3 linked regions of the Drosophila melanogaster genome follow. Changing the gene in region 2 together with the main gene of any one other region gives a genetic interaction. Each region holds a gene or a part of one and is shown on either strand. Other genes may lie near its edges.

Region 1 (5,347 bases), on a different chromosome or scaffold from region 2:
CATGCCACCTCCTGTGCCGGTCACCCATCCCAAATGATAGAATTGCCTGCATAGCGAGGGAATCAAGTGGCGAGGATGCTCCGCCGGCAAGTCTTTGAAGATCGAGAGGGCCATCTCGCTGACAATGTGACTTTCGTGGGACGTAATCTTCGTCGCCGTGCGACACTGATAACGGGAGATAAAGGGATTCTGAAAGCGACAAATCACGAATGTAAACAATGCTGCCGTCGATAGACGATTGCAATCGGTGTATCGCTGTTAACACACAGCGTTGCCGTTACGATAAACATTGTCCAATTAGAAATGGTTTTTTGAAAATTGAATAATGTGCAATAGTTCATTAAGAGAACAAGATATTATTATCACCGTATTACCTCAAAAATGTTTCATAGCGCTGTTGAAAACGTTTTTTACAAGTATAAATATAATAAGCTTGCTACATTTGAACTTTTTTCAATTTTCTTGAGTAGTCCTATTCTGTAAGTCTTATTATAAACTTTTTTGTTTTTATGTGGCTCACCTTTGGAATTATATTGTTTATTAAACATCTTTTCAGGCCCTTCGTACAATGAAGTCCGAAATCGGCAAGGCGTCACACCGCCTCAACCTTTTCACTTCCGAGATCATGCACTTTATCCACCAAATGCAGTACTATGTGCTATTTGAGGTCATCGAGTGCAACTGGGTGGAGCTACAGAAGAAGATGCAGAAGGCTACTACGTTGGACGAAATCCTGGAAGCTCACGAGAAGTTTCTGCAAACGATTTTGGTGGGCTGTTTTGTCAGCAACAAAGCGAGTGTGGAGCATTCGCTGGAGGTGGTGTACGAGAACATTATCGAATTGGAGAAGTGGCAGTCGAGCTTTTACAAGGACTGCTTTAAGGAGCTAAATGCCCGCAAGGAACTGTCCAAAATTGTGGAGAAATCGGAAAAGAAGGGTGTCTACGGACTGACCAACAAGATGATCCTGCAGCGCGACCAGGAGGCGAAGATATTTGCCGAAAAGATGGACATCGCCTGCCGCGGCTTAGAAGTCATAGCAACCGATTACGAAAAGGCTGTCAGCACTTTCCTAATGTCTCTCAACTCTAGCGACGATCCGAATTTGCAGCTCTTTGGCACTCGGCTGGACTTCAACGAGTACTACAAGAAGAGGGACACCAATTTGAGCAAACCCCTGACCTTCGAGCACATGCGCATGAGCAATGTGTTCGCCGTGAACAGTCGCTTCGTGATATGTACGCCGTCCACTCAGGAATAGCGACCAATGTCCATGCAATCGGTTTATCCCAGTGTCCATACATCATACCAAATCCCAAATCCCATACAGCATCAGCACTCCATTCAGTTCAATTGCTGCTAAATATTTGAGATATCTCGATATCATTGGAGCCAATCCAACCAAACAAACTAATCCAATTATTAACTAAGCCTTCGAATCGAAAACAACCTCTATACATATATATCTCAAGCTTTGCCGTCAATCGCCTGGCTGCAAGCCATCAACTTAAGATATCTCCAATACAAAATTATTGAGTAGTTGTAACGAAAGTATTAAGCGACAATTTGTTTGTCGAAAAACGCAACGTTCTATTTTGTTTGCGAATCCCATAATTTTTTTTACATCGAAGCTTAGTTGAAATAGATTTTCGTAAGTGCATTTGCCAATTGCCATGTTGTAATTAAAGAGAATAAGAGAATGTTACGTACTTTAAAAGAATGTTTTAAAAAAGTTAATGTTTTGAACAGTTTTAAACCGTAATGCGAGCTCGAAATAAACGCAACTTGCATTGAAAGTTTCCGTCTCTATTTAATTATTATAAATTACAAAAATTTGGGTTATAAGAGTGTAATAGTTATTTATTCAATTATTGTAAATGCGTATAAAAAGAAAGCCGAAATATTCAGTTATTTATATTATTTCCTTCTCACTCTCACTCAAACTTTCTGATCTCAAAACGGTTTTGTAATCGAATGCGCAGCGAGTTATCGACAGTCCACGAAGCGGTTAACATTTCACCGCTAGCGAGTGCAGCCACCTACTATTCAGCGTAGCCAACCACCAACGTGCAGCAAACATCGATAGTATCGATTAAACACAAATTTGCGTACCACCTCTAGTTTGCGAGCGTATTAAAGTTAAAAAAAAAACGAAAACAAATCGGAAAAAGACGGAAGTGAGTGCTTTGTGCTGCCGCCGGTGATGTGCTGAAATCGCTTCGCCAAAATAGCCCAATTTCCCAATCGAGACACCGATTGCAAATCAAAGTAACGCCACGGAGTGCAGCAAAAAGAAAAACAAAAACAACAGCAACTGCAAACATGGCACTGAAAAAAGTGAAGGGTAACTTTTTCGAGCGTATGTTTGATAAAAACCTCACCGATTTGGTGCGCGGCATTAGGAACAACAAGGATAATGAGGTAAGCGTGCAGCCCCGCCTCCACCGCCCACCAAAACAGCTGTCCTCCAACTGCCACGCCCCCCCCAAGCGGCCCAGCTGTGCGTCCAATTAGAACTCGCTAATTGGCTGACAAATTTCGTTTGCATTAAGGGAATCTTATTAGAGTTTGGTGTGCTTGCATGTGTGCGTGTGTGTGTGTGTGGGTGAAAGTGGCTGTGTGTTTGTGTGTGTGAATGTTTTGGCATCTGCCAACAGTGCAAAAGGAAAAGCAGGAAAAGCTTGAAAAGAACCACAAAACCGAACGCAGAAACTCCCAACGCACCAAATTAATTAGCAAGTGGCTTTTATCAAATATTTACCCACGTTAATTCCCCCGCCGTTGGTCTTTTTATTCGGTCCTTATCAGAATGCTTGGCAGGATCGGCTAACGGTACTTGAGTTTTCACACGGAGAGAAAATTGCGTGTGATTTGCAAAAATAAAATTGTAGCTTCATTTGCTTCGATTGTTAGTAATTGCAAATATTAATGCAATAAAAATAATAATAAATAAATTGCCAAAAAATCAGTTTCCATCCAGTTATGGTTTGCATATCGTGCAACAAGAACAATTGAGAAATAAGAATATATGCAAGAATAACTAAGTTTGTCTACGTAAACAAAAAAATAAGTGGCTCTTGATTGAATTCGATTTCTATATCTTCCACTGCGCATTTCGATTGTTATTTTTGCTCTTGTGTGGTCCACTGTAAGCGCTGATTTACAAATGTGCTTAAAATTATAGCATTCATTCGTTTCAGTAAGATAAAAAAATAAATATTAATTGAAAATTGTGCATTTTTAATCTCAACTAAATGTTACTCATCAGCTAGCGCAGTTTCCATATAACTTTTCATGTAAACAACTTAAGGCGGCCATTATATTTCCATTTTGTACAGCACAAATGAAGAGTAAACAATCAAACTTTGTATATTTACATTCGATTTTATTAACAACTGCATCGGAATTAATGCAACAACACTATTATTCTACCCGCCACTGTATGATTTGGAATTTGTGTTTTTCTTTATTTTTGTTCTATTGCTGTGGGCATAAAACTGATAGCCCCACGACGATTCTCAGATATGTTTGTTGTTTTACTCTGCGCTGCCATTGCACATTTCGCATTTTCACATACTATATTTCGAATATAAACATATTGATTGACAATAACTTTCTCCGCAGGCCAAATACATATCGACGTGCATTGAGGAGATCAAACAGGAGCTGCGACAGGACAATATAAGTGTCAAGTGTAATGCAGTGGCCAAGTTGACCTACGTAAGTTGAATCTTGGAATCCTTAAACCAAAGACGCACCACAGATGATTAACTCACTATTTGCGAACAATGATGAGGGACTTTTAAAATTTATAGGGGTGTTTTAAAATGGTTAATTAGACAATCGCAAATGTGCTGTTCAAAAATAAGCTGATTATACGCACCGACAGCCCAAAGAGGATTCAGGATTCCCCTTCATTAGAATCATCAGTGCAGATGATTGCGTGTGCATGGATGTGCACCGGATTCTGGTGGCAGCCATTCAAAGTCGACCAAGTGCATGGCTGCACTTGATGCAAATTGCCTGGCGGCCGGTCGGTATATATGGGGGGTCCTTGTAGGCAAGTGCGACAATAAGGACTAAAACAGCAACAGCCGTTAAGCTAACAACTGAATCGGCGGAAACAAGGCGAACGAAGGAGCAACCTTTGTTCCACGCCCACACCGCTGGGTGTGGTGGTGGTGGTGGTGGTGGTGGTGTGCCCACCACTAACAAGCGATCCAAAAGATGCCATCAAAAGTTGGCACAGTTGTGTTGGCCAAAATAGCACTGCTATCCTGCAAAACCTAAAACCAGTTGGCTGAAACTGAAATCTAGTGCATAAGCTAAATGGTTTTTATCATTTATAGTTCGATTGCCAAGTCTAGGTAACTAGTGACTTACCCTCGAGTGTTAGGTGCAACTAAGGCGATTTTAATGCTAACGAGAGTCCTTGGGCCTATCCTCTGCACATATTTCACAGGCATACATTTGCACAAAATCAGCAGAAAATGTTAATATTTATTGATTCGATTTCGCTTGCGACAGATACAAATGCTGGGCTACGACATCTCCTGGGCGGGCTTCAATATCATCGAGGTGATGAGCTCATCCAGATTTACCTGCAAGCGAATTGGCTATCTGGCGGCTAGCCAATGTTTCCATCCGGACAGCGAGGTAATATTCACATTACTTACTGCATTAAAGAAAGCATTTAATTTCGATTTCTATTTTCCGCACATTGCAGCTGCTCATGCTGACCACGAATATGATACGCAAGGATCTCAACTCACAGAATCAATACGATGCGGGTGTGGCGCTCAGTGGACTGAGCTGCTTTATATCGCCCGATCTGTCCCGCGACTTGGCCAATGATATTATGACACTGGTATGGATATTATGACACTTTGATTGATTTGTACCTATCGCAACTAATCTGCAGATGAGTTCAACAAAACCGTATCTGCGCATGAAAGCCGTCCTTATGATGTATAAAGTATTTCTACGCTATCCCGAGGCATTGAGACCGGCATTTCCCAAACTCAAAGAGAAACTTGAGGATCCTGATCCAGGTTTAAACAACATACATATATATATCATCCTGCTGATATTTCCATGCAATTCATATATCTAATGCACTACTATTTTGGGTTTTACAGGTGTTCAATCAGCTGCCGTGAATGTGATTTGTGAACTAGCACGTAAGAATCCAAAAAACTACCTGCCCTTGGCGCCGATCTTCTTCAAGCTAATGACCACATCGACCAACAATTGGATGCTGATCAAGATCATCAAGCTGGTGAGTGCGGATCCACTGATCACTGGCCACCATATAGATTCACAATGATTACTTTATTTTGACTTTTAA
Region 2 (5,255 bases):
CAGACTTTTAGTACGACCTACCGCAACGAAACCTGTTCAGTCTGGAAGCCCTAGAAGATCCGCTCTCGGGACAGCGCACTCCAGACGATGACACATTTCACATTTCACACTTCAGCTCGTGCGTTGGCCCCCAAAGAGACCAGATCGGCCCACCAACCTGTGACTCCACTGGCAGTCGAAAGGAAACAGAGTTTCACTTTCAATTGCGACACCCAGGGCCAAGTAGGTAGGTGGGAGCGGTGCCAGAAGGGAGGCGAGTGGGAGGGGGTTGGTGGGCGCAGGGAAGCGACTAACACGAGTAATGTTAATTAAAAGACAAAAACATAATTTAACGCTGGGCATCGCGGCGGCGAGCTATCTTGGAAGTTACGATCTCGGCATTTCTCATCTCATTGCGCATCGTCCGCCACGAAAATACGAATGTGTGGATAAGTAAAGAGCTCGTTTTGGGCCCTCCACCTTGGGTGGGAAATGTTAATCATAAAAAGTAAAAGTAAAATATTACGGGTCGAGTCAGCACTAGCTTCGTTAGCCGCCCCTCGCATTTGCATTTCGCACATGGCAGTGGCGACAGCCACTGCACCAGCTGGCAGGCACAGAAAACGTCGTCGTCGTCGATTACAATCGATTGCCTACGCGGGCTACACGGGAAAAAATCTGAGTTAGGGGGAGCACCAAGTAGCTGTGCTGATGTGTAATATCTGTACCGGTCGAGCCCTGGCCACGTCCAAATCCCTCTGGGACGTGTAAATTGAAGTATGAGCTGAGCCCCGAAAGAATCATATTCATTCTCGCAGTGTACTTGTGCCACCGACCCCTTTGATTTGGGTTCAACCTCTCCAGCTGGAGGCGTGAGCGATTGCAGGCGTGGCCGCCATTTAAATTCAGTCTTTGTTGTATGCCCGCCTCACAATATCCGACGCGTTGCAGAGCAAACTCGACTTGATTGACACCTGACAGGGGCCCCAAGAAGTTAATGGAAGCCCAATTGAGCCTCCCCCTCTTTAGGTCACAGAGAGAGCTGGTTTCGCCGGGGCAGCTATTCTAAGCAACGTGGCTGTAAGCCCGTGATTAAGTGGATTCCGAATGCAAAAGACATCGCTCTCTGCATGACTCGAATCGAATCAAGGGAAACTATAAGTGCAGACTGCATTTCAAATTTCATCACTCGTCCCCAAGCCGCTGTTATGCGACGCTTATGACCGCAACAGTGGGCTACGCTCGAGATGAATGTCTTGGCTTCCGCCTCTTACTCATCGCTACAATCTTCAGATGGCGTTAGTGACGTAATTCTTAGCGGTAAGCAGTGACCCAAAAGACGGACCGCTGTCCAAATTTAACTGCAGTGTCAACTCTGTCAAAGTCTCCCGACCGGAGAGGACGGAACGGCTGAAAAGAGTCCTGAAAGTCCGTACAGTTCAAGTTCGGAACTAGTTTTAACGCTCTTAGGGTAACTTTGTCGAATCGGTATGCGATCGAGATTGTCAATGAGCATGGTCTATTAGGTGGTATAATTATCTTGTTTGCCTAGTGTGTTCTCAGAATTATTTAAAATGGTTCTCCGAAAAACTATTGAAATACTAATGAAAGTAAAGCTTGCCTACCTATTGTAAAAGTAAGCTCTTCGAAACAAATTCTGTTTTGTCCAAATGGGAGTACATTTTATTCGATTTCTTTAAAAATTATAAACCTCCGAATGAATGTTTCATTTTCATTTGAAGTGTCAGCTATTAGCACAATTAGTAATTATTTCTATGTGCATGACAAATTTGAACAAAGGGCGATAATAACGTTTAGTCTTGCGAAGTTAATTTTCAATTTAAGGAAGTACCTTGGCCAGCATGACATCTCGTCTCGGGAACAATTAACACAATTGTCTTGCCAGATTCTGTCGATATTCCGAAATATTTTAAGACTACCTATTGCATTTAGTAGCACAGTTTTGCAATCATTAAATAAAAATAAATCGGTTAATACTAATCAATTTTATCATGGAAAAATTGGCAACTATGTTTTGGAAACAAAGAAAAACACTAAAGAATTTACAGGTATTTGCTGTGCCCTTGTCCCGATTTCTAGCAATAAATCGATTTGCTGACCGCGTAATCTTTAGGAATAGGGTTCATGGCCACCTGCAAGCAAGCCAAGTCATAGGAAGAAGCGATAGCGTGGATTTAGGCAGGAGTATTGGAGAAGAGGCGCAAAGCGATGTAGTTGGCCGAGTCGAGTTGAAAGTGAAAGTTTTGCCGAGCAGAGCGCAGCGATTTGCGTCGACGAGCAATGCTCGGTTAGCCACCCAGAGCTCCATTGTCAGCGGCAATAGTAGCGGCGGACGTGAACTTTAGCGGCCGCGTTTGAGTTGAAAACGCAATTTACAATTTTCCTAATTGTTTCTTTCAGCTTTTTGTCGGCCAATTTTCCTTTATTAGTTACTTATTGGATTGTCGTTAGCGTGACCGAGGCGTATGCGTAATATCTTTGCCAACGCCCGATGAGAAAATCGAATTGCCGGTAATCGTCGCATTGACCGCTCACAGAAAGCGTTACCCAGCAGAATAGAAAGACAGAAAGATCTCTAGACGAATCTTTATCATCTTATTTTTCATCTCTCATTTGTGGTTCATTTAATGCAAATTATGGTATCGATTACTTCTGTTTTGAATGTTGAACTTTCCAGTTTCATTCGACCAGAAGATGAATGATCTTAGGTAGAGCACGTTGTTACTCAGGAAATGCGGCTTTCGACGTTTCAGCATCGTTTCCGTCAAAGTAAAAACTGTAGCGTGCAAACGAAAGTTTCAATTTATTTGGTGTTTCGCTTTCTGAGCCCAACGCACCCAGCACATCACGCAAAAGCAGCCAAACTGCAGAGGAGCAGCCATACCTGGCCTGTAAATAATTTATTTGAGAACACGCGGGAAATCTGTTAAGCCAGCATTCCTTATTTATTGGATATTGATTGCAATAGCACTGAAGCGGGTAATCGTCATTATTTTAACAGCTATTCTTAACTTTTGTTTTCCACTTTTGTTGATTATCGCCTAATTTCTAATACCAAGTCAGCTAAGTTGCGGAAGAAACCAGTTTAATTAATTTTTAATAAATTTATTAAAACCATTATTATTATATTATTATTATTATCGTCAGAAATTTGATACCAGAAATTTATAAATACTGGAAGCTTGCGGCACAAACAAAAAGCAATGGATGGCAGAGACTGGTTATATCGAAAAAAACACATCGAAAGGGATGGTAAAATCTTTTTTTAGTACCTTATGAACGGGCTGTTGAAATTATTTTGAAGTGTGTTATAAGAAAAAATACAATTTTAGCCGCCGTTTACAGAAGTTAATATTCTAATACAATTTCACGTGTCTCTTTTATTTTGATCTGTCCTTTAGCTTGGTTCAACAGCGACTGACTGCCGCGCTCTCTGCAGAGTGGCGAGTCGATTAGTCGATAAGTTTCTCGATAATATTTGTATGTTAAGGATGGGTGTATGAGTGTATAAGCTTATGACTAGATTGGCTATGTATAATTAGGTATGTATGACTAAGAGTAAAGGAAGAGGGTAGAAGGAGCAGCCTACTACAACTCGGCCGTCCTGACAACTAGATCTCCCGATCGTAGGATTTTATAACAATTAACGTTTCTTAAAGCTAAGGGTCCTGTTTCTTATTTTATTCTTCTTAGTGGAGATACTTTTGAACGGTCTTAAACATTTTTTTGGTTTTCTTTTCTTCTTGTTTGTTTTCTTTGTTTTACAATTGCTTCTTAAATTATACTTTCTATTTCGTACAGAGTTTCTTAAATTATACTTTCTATTTTGTACAGAGTTTCTCAAATTATACTTTCTATTTTGTACAGAGTTTCTCAAATTATACTTTCTATTTTGTAGACTCTTAATTTTTCTTTGCCAGTGTTTTATATTCTGTATGCTCCATACACCCCGGTAAGGATTGCGAGAAATTTGAAATCCATCAACATCTTCCAGAAGGAAGCGATCATTTTTGAGAACTTTGCTTATGACATAGGGTCCTTTATGCTTTGGAATTAACTTCTTAGCTATGCCTGTTGTTGAGTCAAAATTTTTAACCATGACGTAGTCGCCTTTTGTGAACACTCCTGATCGTTTTCGTTTTTTGTCAACATATTCTTTATTGTATGCTTGTGCTATTTTCTGACTTGCCTCGCCTTTATTTCTAATACTTTCTAAATCTCTTTCTTCAATCGTTTCTCCAATTTCCTCAATTTTTTCTTTTAACTCATCCATAATTTGTCCTTTTTGTTGTAACCCAAATAACATTATGCTAGGATACTGTTTAATGCTGCGGTGTAGTGTATTGTTCAGGGTATATTCGACCTTTTCTAAGACTAAGTCCCAGTGTAGACCTTGATCAGGTTCAATTAACTTGCTAATCATTGGACCAAGACTTCGGTTTATACGTTCAACTTGACCGTTGGCTTGTGGCGATCCTGTTGCAATTTTTATGTGTTTAACATTGCATTCTTTCAAAAATGAGTCAAAATCGCCAGACGTGAAACATGCTCCTCTATCTGATATGATACACTTAGGCCTACTGTATGCTCTGAAGTAGTCATTTAACGATTGTATGACTTCTTTTGTGTTCGTAGTTTTTGTTGCGTATAGTCTGACAAACTTTGTGAATGCATCTACTATCACTAGAATATGTTTCTTCGGTCTAGCCAAGTCTACTGGACCATAATGGTCAATATGGATTATTTCAAAAGGTTTGTTTCCCTTAGGTATGTTGTGTAGAAATCCTTCTGTTTTTCCTGTTTTGGGACTGAATGAAATACATTTTAAACAGTTGCTGATATGTGTGCTACACTTCTGTTTTAAATTTGGAAACCAATAGTTTTTCATTATAGCTTCTATCATTTTGTCTCTTCCTACGTGTCCAAGTTCGTTGTGATATTTGTATAACACTTGTTCTTCCATTTCTATCGGAACGTAGAACAGCAATCTATTTTCATTTGTCTTTTTGTAAACTATACCATTTCTCATCTCATACAATTTATTTTCTGTGTTTTCTAACAATTGCCTGATTTCTTTTAATTTTGTATCTTTCCCTTGACATATAACTAGATTATCTTCGAAACTGTTTGTTTGTATTACCATAATATTTGTACACCTACTCAGTGCGTCAACATGTTGCATGCGGCTACCTGCCCTATGCACAATTTCAAAATCATAACCTTGGAATTCTAAAGCCCACCTGGCTATCCTAGGG
Region 3 (4,960 bases), on a different chromosome or scaffold from region 2:
CATGGATCTCAACTTGGGACTCTCAACCTTCTAGCTTTTATAGTTCTCGACGTTCATACGGACAGACGGACATGACCAGATCGACTCGGCTATTTCTCCTGATCAAGAATATATATATATATATAGATTATATGGTCGGAAACGCTTCCTTCTGCCAGTTTCAACGAATCTTACCCTTACGAGTAACGGGTATAAAAAATTGGAACTTGCATTATTATTGGCTCCCACAGAGAAGGGTATATTATTTGAATGACAACAACGTTTCAATGTAAATATATATTAAAATAATCTAGGTAAACATGAAAACGAAGAAAAATAAAAACAGAATTTAGTGGTATCTTTATGTTATCAAAATGAATATGATTGACAAAGCTCAGAGTCCGCAGCATTCTGCCATTTATCCTGGGCTTCCTAGATCCCAAAACCGAGTCGTAAGAACGTCTGTATATACTGTAGAAGAAACTTATATTAATAAAAGAATTTCCCTGGGAAACGAGGAGTTTATCAGTTTACCTTATTCTGTTAGCGACGGATCCTCTCCCAATGGCCCTGGGTTGAGGAATCCTGGGCGGGTGGGACGCCTAGCAGGAATGCGGCAGACTGCGAACGGCCAAAGCATCGAGCACTGGTCAAATTCGGACAATCCAGCTGGGTTTTTTACCACTGCAATAATGAAAAACTTTCAGAAGTCCTCAAGGGATTGCTCATGGTAGAGAGTGACATCGCTTTTGCTTTTAATAAAAGAATTTCCAAATTTTTGTGCCTGCAGGACAAAAATGATTATGTGTACCTTTTCGACAACTTGCTGAGGTGCTGGACCCTTCGCCCGTTCGAAGACTACCGCAAATCTGCGAGCGGGACGCCCGCAATATTCGTCTAGCTCCTTGCCCCATCCTTTGTCATGCCCTTGATCAGTCAAGTCAAGACGGTATAGATTCTATCGCCAAAAGGTGCTTCAAAATCGGATACTGCTGCTTACCTCATAGATTAAGATTTTATTGTTGGGACTCGGTTTTCCAAATGATAAAAACAATAAAAAAAATGTTTGGAGCAAATCCTAAAGTTGTTGTTTCTGTAGCACATTGAGTGTAAATGTCAAAAATAGTATTGAAAAAGAACAAAGTTAAAATCATCGCCTACTTAAAAATAGTATTGCATAGGAACAATGTTAAAATTATCGCCTACTTATTATCCAGCACTTAAGCAAGATAATTAATGTATATATATTTTTAAAAATTAACGAAAGAGAATGCTTTAGTCCCGTTCTCCGACTATCAGATACCCGTTACGCAGATAGTGTGAGTGCAAACGTGAAATTTAATAATTTTTTCTGGGGTGTGTTCTGTTACTCTACGAGTAACGGGTATAATAACTTCACATTCCAAATTAAATTGCTATAAAAAATAGATTTCCAATTAGAGAATATATCCAATTGGATCACTCGATAACACCTGTTAACCTTACGTATGTATTATGATCTAAAAACTTGTTATCGGCAAAATATAAATGAAGCTGATAAAATAAAATAAATTTGTTGTTCCTTACAAAGTTATACTACATTTACCTAAATAATAATTACATTCGAATATTATGAATAAATACGTGTAACAGTAGGATCGTGCGATACAAATATCGATTCGAATGTTGAATGTGGTATCGATGTTTTTTCACTCCACGCAATTGCATATTTGCCGTATATATCGGCATTAATTGTATAACTTTCACACCTCTACCTTGTCTTGCAGTCAGTATTTAGTCAAACAAAAGAAAAATAAACTACATTTGTTAGAGCTTGATAAGAGCTCAGTTTGTCTTCAGTGTGTGTGCCCGTCATCTAGCAACAAACCGACGTGATTATTTCGAGTATGATAGTACTTAGCGTACATTTTTGTTAAATTGCAGTAAGCATACGGGCTCCAAATATCTTTCGATTCATTGGGAAAAAATGTAAAGTGCTAAAGTGCGTGTGTGTGTTCGCTTGCAAATGCAATATATACATACAAATTTTGTTTATTTGATGTAAAAGCATCCGATTAATTTACCGTTTATCTAATTATGTTCTTGTTTATGTGGCATATTGCGGCACTGCAAGTGTGCGCGCTCATCTGTGAGTGTGTGTGCGCGAGTGCTGCTGTGTGCGTGTGAATTGGGAATTACCGCTACTCAATTTGATGTATATACACCGAATTTCGTCAATTTCATGGCATTGTCCCATTGTTATCAGGCGCAAAACAGTGATATTTAAATGCGATTTTCGATTTTCATGCACACACAGGGGGAGGGAAAACAAGAGCAAAATTGCTGTACATGTATTAGTCAGTGACTAATTGTTCAAAGCGCAACTCAACATGGCTGACTTTTTCTGTGGTGAGCAGCGATTTTTGATGATAATGCTGCCTCTTTTCTTTTCAAATTCTCTCTCTTGATTCGCTCTCACTCTCTCTCTCTCTCCCTCGCTCACCTCAAATAAAATAAAGTGCTGGTAATTTTCCCGTCGTAACGGCAAGTGCAAAAACGCAAGAAAACGAATAAAAATACCGATACAAAGGATTAATCGTAGGAAATAATTTCGTCTATATATTTTCTTGCACAAAAGCGATTGGGGATACAATAAGAGACTCGGTGTTTTATTTTAAGGGCGTTTACATCCATATGTACATACATATAGGCCTTTATCTTTCATTTTTTCATCCGGTGACGCTGTCACTTTCTATCAACAATAAAATAACGCCCACAATTTGATTTTTCCTCATTCTTGCCGCATCAGTGCTGTCCATAACTACATGTTTTTCCAAAATCTTTTGTCTTTCGTGCAGCTAAACGTTCCAATGGAAACCGAATCTTAAACCAGAAACCGACTAAACTCGAACGCAATTAAACAACAATAAATCCTCGAAACAAATCAAATACAAACTGTTACCAAGTGTGCAATTCAAGAAAACATCGTATTGGCATTGTTTTCGCAAAGATACATTTACGTTGTAAAGGTCTGTCAATAACTAGACCTCACTGTAGTAGTAAAGATGACGCAACCACTGCCCATCCGCTTTCAGGAGCATTTACAGGTGAGTAATATTAAATATTTTGGATCTACCATCATTACATATCCACATACGTACAACCCACCAATATGCCACGATTACCTACGATTATATCCGATTCATAAGCTCCCCACTTTTCTTATGAAAATTTCACGGTTTCCAGCTCTAATTCAACGTGTAAACAGAAAATATGGGGGCTTAGGTCGAGTTTCTACTTTGCTATACCTTCTATTCAAGTCTGTATACAGTGTATTTTCTATAGAACTAGTTATAATACAAATTTACATCTAAACTTAAGCAAAGTATTGCGAATATTTAATAGTAAATGTGGGTCAATCCAGGCCAGTTCAATAATTAATAATGAATGATTATATTGTGTAATGAGTGCGTATGCTATGATTTTCGATTTATCAATTAACACACATTTTCAATCTCCACTACGGACAGCTCACAAATGTCGGGATCAACGCCAATTCATTTTCATTCAGCACGCTCACGATGGAATCGGATAAGTTTATTTGCGTGCGGGAGAAGGTGAATGATACCGCCCAAGTGGTCATCATTGACATGAACGATGCCACCAATCCCACGCGGCGTCCCATCTCAGCGGATTCGGCTATCATGAATCCAGCTAGCAAGGTCATTGCGCTCAAAGGTAACTGAAACCGATGGTCCAGTCGATCAGAATGTCCGAAGAGGATCAGATTTTAGCTTAAAGTAACGTAGGCTTAGTAAACAGGTCCGCTTGTTATTACAACGTGTCTAGAAAACTTAAAACCTCACTTAAACTTTAACTTGAATATCAAATAGTAAGGAAAGAGATCAAAGTTTTTTTCCGGTCGACTGGGATAATGCATTTTTGAACATGTATAACTTTAGAATATTTCTTTTAGCGCAAAAGACGTTGCAGATCTTCAACATTGAGATGAAGTCGAAGATGAAGGCGCATACCATGAACGAGGATGTGGTGTTCTGGAAGTGGATCTCCCTCAATACGCTAGCTCTGGTCACAGAAACGAGTGTGTTCCATTGGTCCATGGAGGGCGATTCGATGCCGCAAAAGATGTTTGACCGGCATTCATCGCTGAACGGTTGTCAAATCATCAACTACCGCTGCAATGCCTCCCAGCAGTGGCTACTCTTGGTCGGCATTTCGGCACTGCCAAGTCGCGTTGCCGGTGCCATGCAGTTGTATTCGGTGGAGCGTAAGGTGTCCCAGGCGATCGAGGGGCATGCGGCCAGTTTTGCCACGTTTAAAATCGATGCCAACAAGGAGCCGACCACGCTGTTCTGCTTTGCAGTTCGTACGGCCACTGGGGGCAAGCTTCATATTATCGAAGTTGGTGCTCCGCCGAACGGCAATCAGCCGTTTGCCAAGAAGGCTGTCGATGTCTTCTTTCCGCCGGAAGCACAAAATGATTTCCCTGTGGCTATGCAAGTCTCTGCCAAGTACGACACCATCTACTTGATAACCAAGTATGGATACATACATCTGTATGACATGGAGACGGCCACGTGCATATACATGAATCGTATATCGGCCGATACGATCTTTGTTACCGCACCGCATGAGGCAAGTGGTGGCATCATTGGCGTCAATCGCAAGGGACAGGTCCTCTCCGTGACCGTCGACGAGGAGCAGATCATTCCCTACATCAACACCGTTCTGCAGAATCCCGATTTGGCCCTTCGCATGGCCGTGCGCAACAATTTGGCTGGTGCCGAAGATCTCTTTGTGCGAAAGTTCAACAAGCTCTTTACAGCCGGCCAGTATGCTGAAGCGGCTAAAGTTGCTGCCCTGGCACCCAAGGCCATTCTGCGTACGCCACAGACGATCCAGCGTTTCCAACAGGTGCAGACACCAGCTGGCTCCACGACTCCGCCGCTGCTGCAATACTTTGGCATTCTCCTCGACCAGG

Evidence for each region. A genetic interaction does not mean that the proteins touch.
Region 1: of aux (region 2) and g, changing one enhances a phenotype caused by changing the other (phenotypic enhancement), as found in Drosophila melanogaster (one study listed by BioGRID).
Region 3: of aux (region 2) and Chc, changing one suppresses a phenotype caused by changing the other (phenotypic suppression), as found in Drosophila melanogaster (2 studies listed by BioGRID).

What each region holds. Positions count from the first base shown.
Region 1 is NC_004354.4:13,733,016-13,738,362, reverse strand, and holds the start of g (garnet), read left to right. Parts: upstream 1-2,084; 5' UTR 2,085-2,322; coding exon 2,323-2,421; intron 2,422-2,673; exon of another isoform or gene 2,674-2,832; intron 2,833-3,624; coding exon 3,625-3,720; intron 3,721-4,527; coding exon 4,528-4,656; intron 4,657-4,726; coding exon 4,727-4,867; intron 4,868-4,921; coding exon 4,922-5,051; intron 5,052-5,138; coding exon 5,139-5,278; intron 5,279-5,347. Other genes in the region: CG11134 (uncharacterized protein), read right to left, coding at 1-114; Grip91 (Gamma-tubulin ring protein 91), read left to right, coding at 557-1,261. UniProt on the Drosophila melanogaster protein: Part of the AP-3 complex, an adapter-related complex which is not clathrin-associated. The complex is associated with the Golgi region as well as more peripheral structures.
Region 2 is NT_033777.3:4,209,716-4,214,970, reverse strand, and holds the start of aux (auxilin), read right to left. Parts: upstream 3,189-5,255; 5' UTR 3,159-3,188; intron 3,064-3,158; 5' UTR 3,056-3,063; intron 1-3,055.
Region 3 is NC_004354.4:15,832,228-15,837,187, reverse strand, and holds the start of Chc (clathrin heavy chain), read left to right. Parts: upstream 1-1,697; 5' UTR 1,698-1,901; exon of another isoform or gene 1,902-1,960; intron 1,961-2,275; exon of another isoform or gene 2,276-2,367; intron 2,368-2,433; exon of another isoform or gene 2,434-2,556; intron 2,557-2,816; 5' UTR 2,817-3,023; coding exon 3,024-3,065; intron 3,066-3,488; coding exon 3,489-3,696; intron 3,697-3,934; coding exon 3,935-4,960. UniProt on the Drosophila melanogaster protein: Clathrin is the major protein of the polyhedral coat of coated pits and vesicles.